2 linked regions of the Oreochromis niloticus genome follow. The protein of the gene in region 1 binds, or shares a complex with, the protein of each later gene. Links are inferred from orthologs where the notes say so. Each region holds a gene or a part of one and is shown on either strand. Other genes may lie near its edges.

The links.
Region 2: the proteins of irf2bp2b (region 1) and irf2b are in contact, whole or in part, in a crystal structure (PDB 8YTG), measured with the Homo sapiens proteins. The link is inferred for Oreochromis niloticus from reciprocal best matches to the Homo sapiens genes IRF2BP2 and IRF2. Residues at the interface, in NP_892017.2 of Homo sapiens: His517, Phe518, Val519, Gln520, Pro522, Phe531, Leu557, Trp564, Ala565, Phe566, Met567, Glu570, Thr573, Ile574; in NP_002190.2 of Homo sapiens: Arg331, Ala332, Ser333, Val334, Ile335, Lys336.

What each region holds. Positions count from the first base shown.
Region 1 is NC_031971.2:4,315,711-4,323,285, forward strand, and holds the start of irf2bp2b (interferon regulatory factor 2-binding protein 2-B), read right to left. Parts: upstream 3,018-7,575; 5' UTR 2,753-3,017; coding exon 1,987-2,752; intron 1,668-1,986; coding exon 925-1,667; 3' UTR 1-924. UniProt on the Homo sapiens protein: Acts as a transcriptional corepressor in a IRF2-dependent manner; this repression is not mediated by histone deacetylase activities. Represses the NFAT1-dependent transactivation of NFAT-responsive promoters.
Region 2 is NC_031966.2:34,358,091-34,365,095, forward strand, and holds the start of irf2b (interferon regulatory factor 2), read left to right. Parts: upstream 1-3,925; 5' UTR 3,926-4,130; intron 4,131-4,154; exon of another isoform or gene 4,155-4,266; intron 4,267-7,005. Other genes in the region: caspase-3, read left to right, coding at 1,576-1,805. UniProt on the Homo sapiens protein: Specifically binds to the upstream regulatory region of type I IFN and IFN-inducible MHC class I genes (the interferon consensus sequence (ICS)) and represses those genes. Also acts as an activator for several genes including H4 and IL7.

The DNA of each region.
Region 1 (7,575 bases):
GTGTATTCAGTCAGCAACAGCTCTGATCTGCTGCCAGCATCTGACGAGATGTCAGGCTGATTTGGGTCGATGAGGGAGAAGCAAAGAGAAAACCTCTAGATCCAAACAAAGTGCCCAAACAGGACATATGAGGCAGTTGTTTTGACATCAACAAACGCCTGAGCAGGCGTCACTTTGAAGCCACAGTGACTATTTTTAGGCCCTCCTTATCTCCCCCCGCACTCACAGGGCACGAGGCCTCAGCGCCGAGCAGCCTCGGCTCGCCCACGTGCGATTTACAGTACATTTATGCAACGCACTTCTACTGCGGCCTTCATCCCCCCTCTTCCATCTCCCTCGCTCCCTGACTTTTCCCCTTCCACCCACTGTTCCCTGGAAGCCAGTTTGTTCCTGCTGGGAGGGATTGCATCATGACTGATTCACAATCAGGCCATGACTCTCCGACCAACTCCAGGATTATGGAAAATAAGCAAACCACAGAGACACTGGGGGTATTATTACAAGGTCTGAAACTGTATTTGGCAAGTTTTTTTCTTAAACAAGTGCATACATGTACAGCTAGAAGCATTTTTTGTTTCATTTATTAAAGGATTTTGCCAAGTGCTCAAATTAGTCACATTCTATGCTCGACAGGGACTGTCTGCAGACCTAAAGTACAACGACAGACTGAGAAGAAACAGCTGTGGTGGGAAAAAGGAAAAGTCTTACTGGAAACACAGTAAGAAACAATGTATTAAAGAAAAAAGTCAAATTTTACTGCCACATTTATGAAGTATACACTCCCCTGCGTTCACTATGTACATGTCTGCCAGCTCCTCTGAGGTTTGCTGGGTGAGCTGCGTCTGTTACTTTATGTCCTGCTGTTGTTGCCATACTTGGGTTACAAGAGGGAAAAAAGTTCACGAGAAGCAGTCTGAGAACTTTTTAAGGGTCCCGCTCCTTTTTTACCTTTATATCTCCGGCCAATATGGTGGTTATTTCCCCCTGCATGAAGGCCCAGGGTACATTGGAGCCAACCAGCGGGCACCTTTCACCACTGGGACAGTACACCTCGCCGGTGGCCCCCTGCTGCTTGATGCTCTCCCGGGAGCAGGGGAAACAGAACTTGTGAGAGGGCACTGAAGGGCACTGGACAAAATGAGTGTCCTCTAGCCGCTCATGGCACAGAGTGCAACACAGCGGCATGCTGCTCGGTGGCACAGAGGAATCCGGAATGCTCTGCGGCGGTGGCTCCATACTGCCGGGACCATGCGGAGCGGAGGGGTTGGCGCTCACGGGCCCCTCTCTCTGGGCCAGCCTCCTCTGTGAGGGTGAGAGGGGGCTCCCGCTGTTCCGTCGTGCCCCCGCCACGGTGGAATGTACCTGGCTGCCGTCCTTAGGTGAGCCGGTGCTGCCTGCGTTGTCAGTGGCGAGGATGAGTGCAGTCATGGGGGACTGGCCATTCTGCGCTGTGGCAGCCTCAGGCGGTGTGGTGCGGGAGTGGGGGGAGATGGTTGATGGAGGCGCCGCAGAGAAGCCTGGTAGGGCAGCTGGGGGCATCTTCAGGACTTCAGAGGGTGAGGGGAGCCATGGCTGGCCCTCACTGCCATTCATCTTGGGGGCACTGCTCTCACCATCTGGCTCAGGGGAGGCCTTCCTCTTCCCAGGCCGAGGGTGCTTCCCCCTGTCTGTGCAAAGGAAAAGCAGCAGGGTTAACGCCACGCTAGGTACACACAAACATCCCGGCCTGTGCAGAATACGAGGCAGCTCATTTCTACCCCCCCCCCAACAACCACACACACACCTGCTCCCGTACTGCTCTCTCACACAGAGGTGAACGGGTGCGTGCCAGCAGCGTGGCTGGGCGGACCCTTCACGATGGCGTAAATGCACGACACACCGTGTGTGCAAAGTGCTGACACATTAGTTCCCTGCTGTTTAGTTCCCGTTTTCATGGCGCGTGCCAGCTCACCACATTCTAGTGCAGACACAAAACAAACAGCCTACCTGTTTTTGAGGAAGTGCCACTCATTTCGTACGCCATGACCCGCTGCATGGCGGTGTGGTCCTTCTTTACCCTGCCGTCGAACGTGTGCAGCATCAGGTCCCTGACAGTTTTGCCTTTGTTTATCCAGTCCTTGTGGCTGTCCGACATGTCCGACATGCTGTCCGCCCGGTGCTTGTCTTTCAGCTCCTCCGGGCGCTTGCCGTGCTCCCCGGGGACAGGCGCGATCAGAGCGCCGGTCAGACCGATCTGTGTCGGGCGGCCGCTGAGCGGATGTATGGCAGGTATCCCGCCGTTTACCAAAGGCACCAAGCTGGGAGGAACCGTGCTAGTCCTGCGGGGGTTGGGGCTTTGGCGGTTTAGCTCAGGGGGCTCGTCGGGTTTGGGAAATCCGTTGGGCATCGGGAGGCCGTTCGACTGCCTGCCCGCCTGGTACTCCGGGCCCAGCCGCGGCGGCCTGTCTGACAGCGGATAACGATCCAGAGGTTGAGGGGGACGGGAGCCCGGGTCTCCAACCGAGTGATTGATCTCTTTCCCGGCGTGCTGGGGTTTCCCCGGGCCCGGAGAGCGGCCGTCCTGAAAGCCGTGTGCTCTCTTTAGCTGCCTGGCAGTCTCGATAACGAATTCAATCCGGTCGGCACCTTCGTAGTTCACACATCCACGGCAGACGGGTTCGGTAAAATCCCAGATCATCGCCCACGGCATGCGGGGCAAGTCGCATAAATAACAGGACTGCCTTCTGGAGGCAGCGACCGCCGTGGAGGACATATTGTATCCCCGAAGCGATTTCAAAATGTCCGACAGCTTGTTTACGTCGCAGAGAAGACGGAAAAATACGTCAACGAGAATAAAAGTGGCTGATTTCGTCCTCACGAAGAAGAACAGAGCACCATAGCTGTAGCTGTTCCCTCGGCGCGCCTCCGTCTGAGCTCGCGCTTACAACTCAGCTCCAGCTCTCAACGTACGGCCGTGACGTCAGCAACGACACTCGGCTCGTGCTCCGGGGTTCTATTTACTGGATTCTTCGACGACGCGCATGCTCACCATTTTTCTATCTTTGTCCGGAGCGTTTACTCTTGAAGATGTGTATGCCCGCGAAGAGGGACCACTCTGTGTTTTATTGGGACCGTAATAAAACACGGCAGCGATTTGTCTAAATTGAACAGCTATTCAATCTAGAGAAATCATTTCACTTTGATCTGTGTCAAACTGAAGTAATTTCCACATCTCCAGGCTGTGGGACTGTAAGCTTTTATGTTTAAATGGATGCAATTTAAAGTTTCACAGCGCTAATGTGCTGCCATCATCTTAGAAGCAAACTGCAGCACTGAGAGTGCACTGAGACACAAAATGATCAAGTGAAATTAGTGGAAAAAGCTTTATTTTATCGCTCTGTGCGCTACATCTCTAGAATAAAGATTTTCTCTGTCATTAATTTCAATTCAATTCAATATTGTTTATCACAGTAACAGTCGCCTGAAGGCGCTTTATATTGTAAGGTAGACCCTACAATAATACATACAGAGGAAAACCCAACAATCATATGACCCCCTATGAACAAGCACTTTGGCGACAGTGGGAAGGAAAAACTCCCTTTTAACAGGAAGAAACCTCCAACAGAACCAGGCTCAGGGAGGGGCGGGGCCATCTGCTGCGACTGGTTGCGGTGAGAGAAGGAAAACAGACCAATTTCTTATCTTAATTGCAACACTGATTCTTTTTGCTGTTCATTTTTAATGTTCTTTAAAGACTTTAATCACTACTTTATCATCATCTGATAATGTCTTCGATGGAGTGAGCTGCATTCAAAGGATGTTTTTCTGAAAGGTGTTCGTTGAGCCATGTGACTTGAGAGATTTTGTTAAACCAGTTAACACAAAGAAACCCCGGCTGTATTGAACTTCCTTTGTAACACACCTCTCAGGCCTCACTGAGTGTTTACAAAGCAGGACTGTTCAGAGCTGAAAGATGAAGCCATCTTCATGTTCTGTTGTACTAATATGCAAATTTAACTCTTTCTGTATTAGTGGTAAAATAGCAAAACATTAGAGATACATCAGTAGAACCTTGAAAAATATAAACAACAATATTAAAATGGCAGCAACTAGTTAAATACAGTCCTCTGTGTGTGTGTAATTTAAACTCAGTGTAATGAGTGTACACATGTAAAAAGACAATAACATAATAAACAAGGCTGTATGTGGATCCAAATGCAGCTTTTAAAGACACCGGCGCCGACCTGCTTCACGACATATTATACTGGGTTTCAAAAGGGATGCGTGGAATTAGAGGCAGAGTGAGACCTCTTTTCTCTCAGCTCTCATCTTTGTTTGCAGGGCTCCAAGTGTTTTTCTAAATACCAAAGATGTAGACAGTGAAAAAATAATCTTCCGATTTAAATAATCAACTCTGCAGTGTCAAGGCAACCAGTGTTAAAGCAGTTCTGTTTAGGAGTTCGGTGTGACGCTGAGTGGGTGTTAAATCCCTCTGTTGCATTCCAGTCTCGTTGCCAGGCACATCTGACATCACCACTGTAGAAGCCAATCCCAGAATTAAGCTGCTGTTACCAGGCAAACTGTAAACCTCCCTCCCCTCTATTCAGTCTTCTGCTGAGCTGAGCTGATCATTTTCCTCTCACTGGTATGAAATCACTTCCACTGCTCTCTAGTTTCTCCTCACACACAAGTTATAGCAATAGAAAGCAATGACTCAACTGGCAGTAATTCAACGAAAACCTACTTTTTGAAGTAAAATATGATAGAAATGGAAAGTATTTTAAAAAACTGTAGTAATAGAAAGGCATTAAACTTAAAGTGATAATATATCCAGTTGCATTAAAATTAGCATCTATTTTCAAGTTTATAAAATGCAGGTAAAGCCCAAAGGCACAGGATAATCAGCATAATTGATTAGAATTAAGTACAGTGTAGAAAACTGGTGATGAAAACACCTGTGAGACATCATATAGATGTCCATTTATCCATCTATTTTCTACAGTGACACCCAGATTTCACTCTTCCTGGTCATCATCTCCAGATCTACTGGGTGGACACCACAAATCAGCCAAGAGATGTAATCCCTCCAGCATGTCCTGGACACCATCCACAGCTCATGGCCATAGTTCAGGGTAGAAACACAGACTGATACAACATAGGAACATAAACGATTGACTGGTCATCCACCAGCCTATTCTTTTTCCATTTTAGCTCTATTTGACTGCAAACTATCCCAGTATGAGCTGAAGATCACAGCCTGAGGAGTCCAAAGGAACCATATCATCTGCAAAATGCAGAGATTTAGCAGAGATAAGCCACCAGAGTCAGCCCCTACTTGGCTGAGCCTAGAAGTTCTGTGCATTAAATTATGATTAAAGAGGTGACCTTGGTCCCAAAAGCAAGAATTGTTGGCCAAGACTCACTCAATTCAGTTTATGTATCTAGTGGCAAATCACAACTATAGTCGCCTCTACATTGTAAGGTAGAGACCCTACAATCATCATCTCTCCAGTCAGGCTTACAGACATCATGACGTGTCTCACTTACTCAGTCAGTGATGGAGGCAATGAGGGAAAGAAAGTAAGAGGGAAAAGGCAGAACAATGTATCCTGTTTTGCCAGTGTAACACTGGCCGCTGTAGGCAAATATGTAGGAGCAGAGAACTCTTTGCATTCTGCACGACAGTCAAACATGAGCTGCATTTAGTCAAATCTTCAGTGGGAGAGGAAGACAATGGCAGATCTGAAATCCAGTAAGGTTACATGAAGTGTAACCTCTCAACCAAAAGGCTACTTCATCAAAGATTTTGGAGGAGTAGGGGAAACATCCTTAAGAACCTAAAAAACAAGTAGAAGTCCAGTTGCTTTCAACTCAAGTGCTTAAGACTGCCATGATCTGAATGATGGGAAACCTATACAAAGAAATAAATGAATGTGCTCATTAACACTCCGAGGTCTCACTTGAGACTTTAACTTCAGTGTTGAATCCATAGAGCCTACGCAAGTGGCCGACACCATTGGAAGCATTTCTACTTGTATGTGGTGTTTCTTTGTTGCACTGCAGTTTTCTGCCAAAACACTAACTGTTGGTGGAGTTTATCTCTCTGTTTCCTTCCAGTTAATTAAAAACCTGCTGAGAGGCCAGAAATGGATGAGAGGACTATGACAACACAACATGTAGTTACATTTGTCAAGGTTAGGGGGAGGTCAGATTAAGGTTTAGTCTCTGGACTTCTTTAACTTTCTTGAAGATGTTTCACCTCTCGTCCAGGAAGCTTCTTTAGTTCTAAGAGCAACTGGTGTAGAGTCCCTACCTCGTAAGCCCTATTGGGAATGTCCCAAAGAGGGTCGTGGACCCCCTATTGATCCTCTGGCTAATCACACGAGCCAAGGTGTGAAAACGGGTGTGGGTCACAATCAGCCAAGGTTTCAGGTGAACCCACTGTGAGACCTTGCCCACCCATGTCATGTGACTTACTGAGAACAAATGGCCCAAGACGTGAGTGGGCGTTAAGGCATCTGGGAAGGATTTCCAAACTGGACTATACATGGTAGACAGTAGACTCAGGCATGTAGGAATGATTATTCCTACTCTCATTACCCAAACTTGAGAGAACATTTTTTAAACATATCAAGAATTACTGTACTTTCTAATGAAGCTCATATGCTTTAATGTGTGCAGCAAGATGTTGGAGATCTTCTTCTGTGGTAGTGAGTACCATCTAGTTTGCTGCTGTCTGCTGGGGGGCAGCATCAGTGCCAGAGATGCCAGCAGGATGAACAAACTAATCTGCAGGCTGGAAGCATCATTGGTCAGAATTTGGAGATGTTTGAGTCAGTGAGGGGCAGGAGGTCACTGAACCTACCCTCTCCATCAGGGACAGCCCATCACACCCACTCCACTCCATACCTCTGAGGCAGCAGAGTGATTCAACCTCGCTGCCATAAAGAACACTTTAGAAAGCCTTTCCTACCATTCTCTATAAAGCTGTAGAATAACTTCATTCTGTGACAGGTTTACACACCTGTCAGGCAAAAGATTTTCATTAATGCAATCTGCACTTCTCGCCTACACAACGTCAGTCTTACTTTTACTGTTTTTAACTAACTTCATTTTGATTGTCTTTGTTTTGTTTTTTAACACTGATGTAAATATATAAATTCCTGCTCTGTCTCATAGTATAACCTCCTTACCACTCAACTGTTATTTTAAATGTGTAGTTTATTGTTGTTTATTGTGCAAGTTCAAACTATGCAAAAAATTATAAATAATCTAGAAGTGCATTCACTTTTTCTGGGTCTGAGCTAATTACAGATGAACTGACGTGAAGTGGAAAACTCCAGTTAACTGACCAGTCAAATGCCCAGTTTGCCTTTTGTCCCGTGTTCCTCCCTTTATTCCCAGCTGGTTGTGGTAGATGGCTGCAGTAGCTCAGTAATCTCTTTAAGAGCCTCTGTGACATGGTTAATAGAGTTTTGTCATGGTGTGTTGTTATATGTGTAAGTGATTAAAGTATGTGTGCTGTTCATAGAATGTTGTATATATGTATATTTGTATATATTTAAATATTTATTTATTGTGTCATGTAGTTTTTCA
Region 2 (7,005 bases), on another chromosome or scaffold:
ACAGGAGAGACAGGGATTTACACGCTTACTGCGATAAGATCAATGCTTTAAGCTCAGTATGGTGCCCACATACAGAAATGGGACATTAAAATATATGCCTCAAACATGTCGGAGAAAAAAAAGGGGGAAACTATTAGGATAATGACGCAGGAGATGTCAAACTAAATGCAAAACACAGGAGACAATGACTACCAAAATAAAACAGGAAATGAAAGATAGCCACGGAAACAGGGAGACACTTAGATACAAGAACTTTACGGGATGAATAACAATAAAAGAACAAACTCTAACTGAGAAGAAAAGAGGAACAGGATACTAATGGAAAAAAACCCAATGAAACCAGACTTACAGAAACAATACCAAGAACCAGACGGCCTGAAGGAAGAATGGAAATAAAAACCAAAAAATTAAACACAACTCTGAAAACCGTGAGTTCAGAAACCGACCTACGTGCCAAATATAGAGACTTTTAACTTGAAAAGGCAACTGATGTAGGAAAGCAGAGTGTTGTGATCTATGGCATAAATCATCATCACTTCAAAAATTCTGGACACACTTTAATGACCACTAAACCTCTGTGATTTTTTACAATAACTAGTTTATCTTTTCATGGATTTTGACTCTGGAATATCTGTTTTTAATTTGTTGTATGAATAAAATACAACACTTCATTATATTCAGACGTCTTTCATGGTTCATTTTTGAGGTATATTTTTTTCTGCTCCAGTACAACCATTTATCTAACTGATTTTAAGTGGGCTGGATGTATAATTAAATGTCTTAATACGGCCTTTAGGTGATCAGTCTGCTAAAGTAACAGCTGAGATGACTGTGGCAAGGACCACATACACACACACACACAGCGTTGTCAGTTTGCTCAGTTTATTGTCTATGGCAGTAGATTCTGTTGTTTTGGTGCTCTGCACGCTGGAAACAGTCACTCCACGTTTTTCTGCTCTGCTGTCACTGAAAAAGCCAAGAAGATGTCATCTAACCTGACCCAGCACACCTGTGTTTCAACCACGCCTCCCTGTGAGCTCACTGTGTCGCCCCTCCTCTGCAGCAGGCCAGAGGCCACACCTCCACCACAATGACTCTAAACAATGCATTGCTTTCTCACTCACTGCAACCTACATGGCTCTGCTTGATGCTGCTGAGTCACATGACCACAGGAGATCGGAATGCAGCAGAGCAGGGAGGAGGGGGCGGAGCAAAGCGTGCCTGCATGAGAGGAGCATTGCTTCCACACACGTCTCCTTTCTGATGAATGAGAGCAACTTACAGGGGACAGACAAACTAAAGCATTGAGCGTATCGGGCTAGTATCGATCCAATACCAGCCCCAGTATCAGTTCTATTGATATTTTACTGCATAAAATGATATTAAATTAAATAGAGTACCATCGTAGTAATAATAAACACACAACTGAACTAAACAGATGCCCTCCCATAGATCATTGTTTTGTCACAGTCACCAGTCCAGCTACTTTATTAGTGTCAGGATTGTGTATTATAGTGAACGATCGCCTCCTCGTTGTTGTTTTCTAAGAGCACTAACACTGTCACCCTCCTGCAGGATACTACTCATGGAGAAACACAACCTACGGCTCCTGGTTCATACTGACGTTGTGTGAGATGTTGGAGTGCTACAGTGGGAAGCTGGATCTGATGCAGATCATGACGCGAGTCAACTACGGTGTTTCACGCTACTTCGAGTCCTCCAGCAACCTGCCTGGATTTGCTCGCAATAAGCAGATCCCCTGTATCGTCTGTATGTTGACCAAAGACTTTTACTTCCCCGTCTAGATTTACATGGTTGAACCTCAGTGATCTTTGTTCTCCTTGACCAAATGCAAAGTCTGATGCTGTGCTGCAGCTGATGCAAAGCAGGATGACAGTGATTTAAATGTGACTAAACCCATTTGCACAATCTGCACTTAGATTAGTGATACTTTTATTGATTTTAGTGTTGGATCAGTTTACCTTTTATATTTTGTGTGTTTATGTATGTTTGTATTAAAGTGAAAAAAACCATTAACAGTGTTGCGACAGTTTTGGGCGCTCCACATGTTTTCGCCATCTGTCGTATTTTTATGTTTTGTTGGCCTAACAAGGGCATGTTTTTGGACCTCATATTGAGAGTTCTAGTGAACATCTACCAAACTCAGGTTCAACACTTTGAATCATCAGTTCTTTCTGAGCTTTTGAAAATGGGAGGTTATGTGTAAAACATTTAATTCAATACATGTGTTAAAATCCTTGAATTGAAGCTGAAGGTCCGCACTTCAGTCACATCTTCTTTGTTTGATTTAAAGTCCGCTCTGGTGGAGTGCAGAAGCAGGAGTCCACACACTCACGGAGCTGACCATGTGACAGGCCAGATGTTTTGTATTTTGAACCAACTGTGTGAACATGCAGCCACTAGAGGAGGCCAGAGAAACAACTAATGTGATTCTCAGAGGCCTTTAATGACTCAGCAGTTTTGCAGAGGTTCCAGGAACTGAAACTGTGGCCCGGTTTAACCCTTGATGCATCGACCATGTGGAAGTGCTAATTTGAAAACGAGAAAAGAAATAAGACTTTCTGTTTAGACAGTTGTCAGCTTCTTCTTCTTCTTTTTCTAATTCTTCCGTTTTTCTTTTTAACCATCTGTATTCTGTGTATAAGGCAGCTTCTGTCTGGGGCCCACTGCTGTGAAATACAAACTCCTTGGATAGGTTTGTCAGACCCCTCCCGGGCTCAGCTGTGTGTGTCACAGAGATAACCCTGACCCTGTGGAGAGCTGGCACACACTTTCCATTTGTTGAGGATCAATTGTGGAGGTTGGAGCTTCTCAGACATCGCGTTTTCCATTCCCAGATTTTGACAAAGCTGTTTTCTCTTTGCTGTAAACAGAAACAGTGTGCTGAGTGAGTCACCGGCAGCACAAATGACACCAAATGTAACAATCATTAATGAATGGGGAATTTCAGTACGTGTGAGTGTGCCAGTGGAAGCCTTATCTTCAGAGTTTCCATTAAAAACAGACACATGTCATGCATACATGCATGCTGCTGTGTTGGGAATCTGTCGATCTGCTGCTAGCTTGCAGACATTTTCATGTGAAACTGCACAGCTCAGTTTCGATTCTCCTTTTTAAAGAATGAACGGAATCACTGCGTGCACTACTCTAAACTGCAGCTTGACTCTGGGACCCCACCGCCACAGCTACACACTTAGAGGAGAGACATTACAAAGGTGTCCTTTCCACACAACGGCAGGTGTGCTGCTGCCAACCCCTTAAACACACACACGGTTGTGAGAAGTTTCTAGTTTCGTTTCCAGTTGCAGCGGCGGAGAAAAAAGAGGAGATGTGGGGGCGACGGGGGGGAGAGAGACACAGAGGAAGTGAAAATGAAATTCAGCTCAAAGATCGTCTATGTCCTAAGAATAAACGTTCCGGGGGGGCGGTCATTTCCGCCGTGTGTCAACCTGCTTATACATTTAAACACGTATTTGCTACAGTTGGCTAGGACATTGATGTATTCAGGTACTAGTCACTGAGCTATGTATATATATCCCAGACGTGCAGACGTTTAATGTTGGTGTTTTGCAATGGCGTGGCAAGGTGAATGGTAAATACTAGAATTTAGACCAATTTTATTTTTAGGTGATTCTATCCTACGCTGTTCTGTATCAGAGCACGTGACTCCTGTGCAATCTGACGGATAATTATCCCAGAAAGTAAAGCTAAGCTACGAGCATTAGGCTAATCTTAAATGTCATGGTTGCCGCCAAAAAAACAAACAGATAACCCGCCCCCCCAAAAAGATAATAATAATAATAAAAAAAAAACACAACGGAGTGAGCCATCTTCGCTTCGACGTGTGCGAGCGCACGCGAGACTTCACGACGCTCGAGACCGACCCAAAGCGAGAGCACGAGAGCAGGAGGGGGATTTCCAGCTCTGGCCCCCACTTCCCGAAGCGGCCGTTGTTTTGCTTTCGGTCTGAATGCAGAAACAGAAATAAACGACGACCACACTTTCCCTTTTCCACTTAAAACCTCGAACACGTTAACCTGTCCGGCTTTGGCTGCTCTTCTTATTCCGACAGCGGGACTGTGGAGCCCGAGGCCGTCCAAACCTAACAGGTAACATCTTATTTCCGCATATTAACGTCGCTGCCTTGCGCTCCCCTGGCCACACTGACTTCCTACAGGGCGACATGACGGATCCCTAGCTCAAGTGAAAGTAGTTCTGCAGTTTGTCTCCGCGTTTCATGACTCGGTATGGGATTTATTTTCACTTTTGACTTCGTTGTTTTGGGTCAGCTCGGTGGCAGGCGGTAGACACACAGAGCGCGATAAACTTCTGACTTGCCCCCGCTGCTAAAGCAGACTCGACTCCAGAACAAACATGTTACTAACATTGGAAAGTCAGCGGTGATGTGGCTGTTTACCTGGAATTAGTTAATATTTGCTAGCATCCTCCCGCTATAACGTAGACTCTTTGAAGTGTACAGTGTTTATCTGTTTGTAACTGTGTGTATTTACCGTGTTATAATCTGAGTAGCAGCGGGACTGAGCCGTGAACAGTATTCAGGTCTTAGTGCGTGTCATTTACACTGAAAACACTACAAGTGTTATATTGTCTGAACTCCGTGACGGGTAACTTACCATGTTTAGCAGTATAAAAATAAATGTGCTATACACTGAAGAAATAATAATAGTAATACTATTAATAATTTAAAAAGTACTACTGATGTTATAATATTGAATGTTATATTCTTAAATGTACAGTTGGACTATATTTGAGTGTAGACACCGTTATGTACACAGTGTAAATACATATTTAAATTCTTCTTGATCCAATTTTTCCGCCATATCAGCAGCAAATGTTCCTCATTGTGCAATTAGTAAAAAGAACAGAAGAAAGCACACATATTGCCACGCACTGTGATGACATGTTGGTCAGAAATCAGTATAGTTTGCGTCAACGGTTTAACCGCATTCATTTAACCCTAAAGTCCCGCTGTGATGATTCCCTCTTCCACCAATTAAACATCTGCTTGTTGAAATGTATTCACACCATGTGCTGTTCTCTCAGAGGACTTAGATGTAGTCTGTCTCACTGAAAAACTGAGCGGAAACATTAAATAGTGCTGAGTTAAGTGAACTTGGCGAATGTGTTAAAATAGATCTGGGTCTTTTTTTTTTCTTCAATTGTCTTTCTGTTAGAAAATGTCTTCTGTCAGTGTCAGATACTCTGACATAAAACTGTAAGTTTTTACAGGTATATTTGTAGTTAAACTGCATGTCTGTGAATGACCAAAATATTAATATCCACAGATGTAATTTAAGAACAAAGAGATGCTCATATTTGTGAATGTGAGCGTGCTGCTTTTAACGTGTGAGGCAAGCTGCGGTCAGAACTTGGGTGATAAATGAGGATGAAGAGATGCCTGTGTCGTTTTTACTATTTATGAAATAATGAGCAGTCTTATCTGTGAATAAATAAATCATTTTCCTGTCTTGAGTCACTCGTGTGACTGTAAGTAACCTGTGTGAATGATTTCTAACTGATGCCGTGTGTCATGTAGTCTGTTGGGAACACCTGAGACTGTCGTCTCTCTTTGCAAGATCACCAAAAGTCTGCTTTTGAAGCGCACAGCACAGTTTGTTTGCACAGTGATCAGTGCAGCGCCCCCTGTTGCAACTGAGTTAAACAGCAGTGGCACATTTCATCATATGTAAACTTAATGTGCTTCATATATGAGATAAAAAACATTAAAAAAAAACTGTAGGATTACAGTGCCTTGAAGTAAACAAGTGTAAGCTTGCACGAACAAAAAGGTTTTGAGTCTGTTTTTGAATGCTTGCATAGGTGTAACTGATCTCAGGTCAGCAGTACCTGAAAGCACCCGCAGCATACTTGGATCTGCTTGTAGGAGCGTTTGCCCTGCACCTGATGGCAGTCTGACTGGGTTGTAAACAGTGAGCAAGTCAAAGATGCTTCAGGTGTGCAAACCACCGAGAGCTTTGTGCTGATCGGACTTTAAAGGTGAAATATCAGTTTGTGTTTGCTGAAGTCATTTGTGTTGAGATTTGGTGACACAAAGCTGCCTCTTATTGATATTTGCGGGGGTTGTTTAGTTTTCCTTTTCGAGCACCAGGGGCTGGGTTGAAGTGGGACGTGGGCCCTGTGTTTTGGCCATGTGTGCCATTTGTACTGCACTCCTTGTGTCTTTTTCAGCTTGTGTTTTCTGTAGTGATATTGTGAGCTTTCACTGAACAGACGCAGCTGAAAGGCTCAGCCTTGTTTGATATTTTGGATTTGATGCTGCGCTGTTTCACCTTGTTTAACCTGTTGGGGAAGCACTGCGCTGGCAGGGAGTGTCAGCCTGACTGGACTTTGATCACGTTTGTGTGCAGAGATCATCACCCTGCCCTTAAATCAAATGTAGCGGCATGGGTGGGCTAAAGTTTTCTGGGACGGTTATGAGCTCTGTTTGTTTTTTCCTGTTGTCCTCTTGTTCCATTGTTGTTTTATTTAAGGTGTCGTTCTCTGGAACAAACAGCGCGAGGCTGAGTGTAGAGCTACAAACATGAGCTGACATTTTTATTTATGAACCGTGTTTTATGGCTGCTGTTCTTTGCGCACACATTAAAGAGCCTGGCCAAGAGTCTTATCTTTACAAGCACACACAGATCTGATTCAACTGTGTTCCACACCTTACTCTGAAATGATGACTATGAATGGGGAAAAAACATCAGTGGGGGGCCTGCTATGCTCATTTCCAGCTCTACTTGAGTAGCTCTGGATGATTCATGGTTCAGAATCGTTCTTGTTTGTCGTTGGCTTGGTGCAGCCGCTCAGTTCATCCTGTGTGAAACAAGATGTTTTGGCTCTTGTTGGCACAGTGAGCACCACAGCAGATCACGTATTACAGCATTTCTATTTTTTTTTAAAGTTGCTACAATTTGCTATAATGTTTACAAAAAAACAAACAAAACCATCTTTGAATCC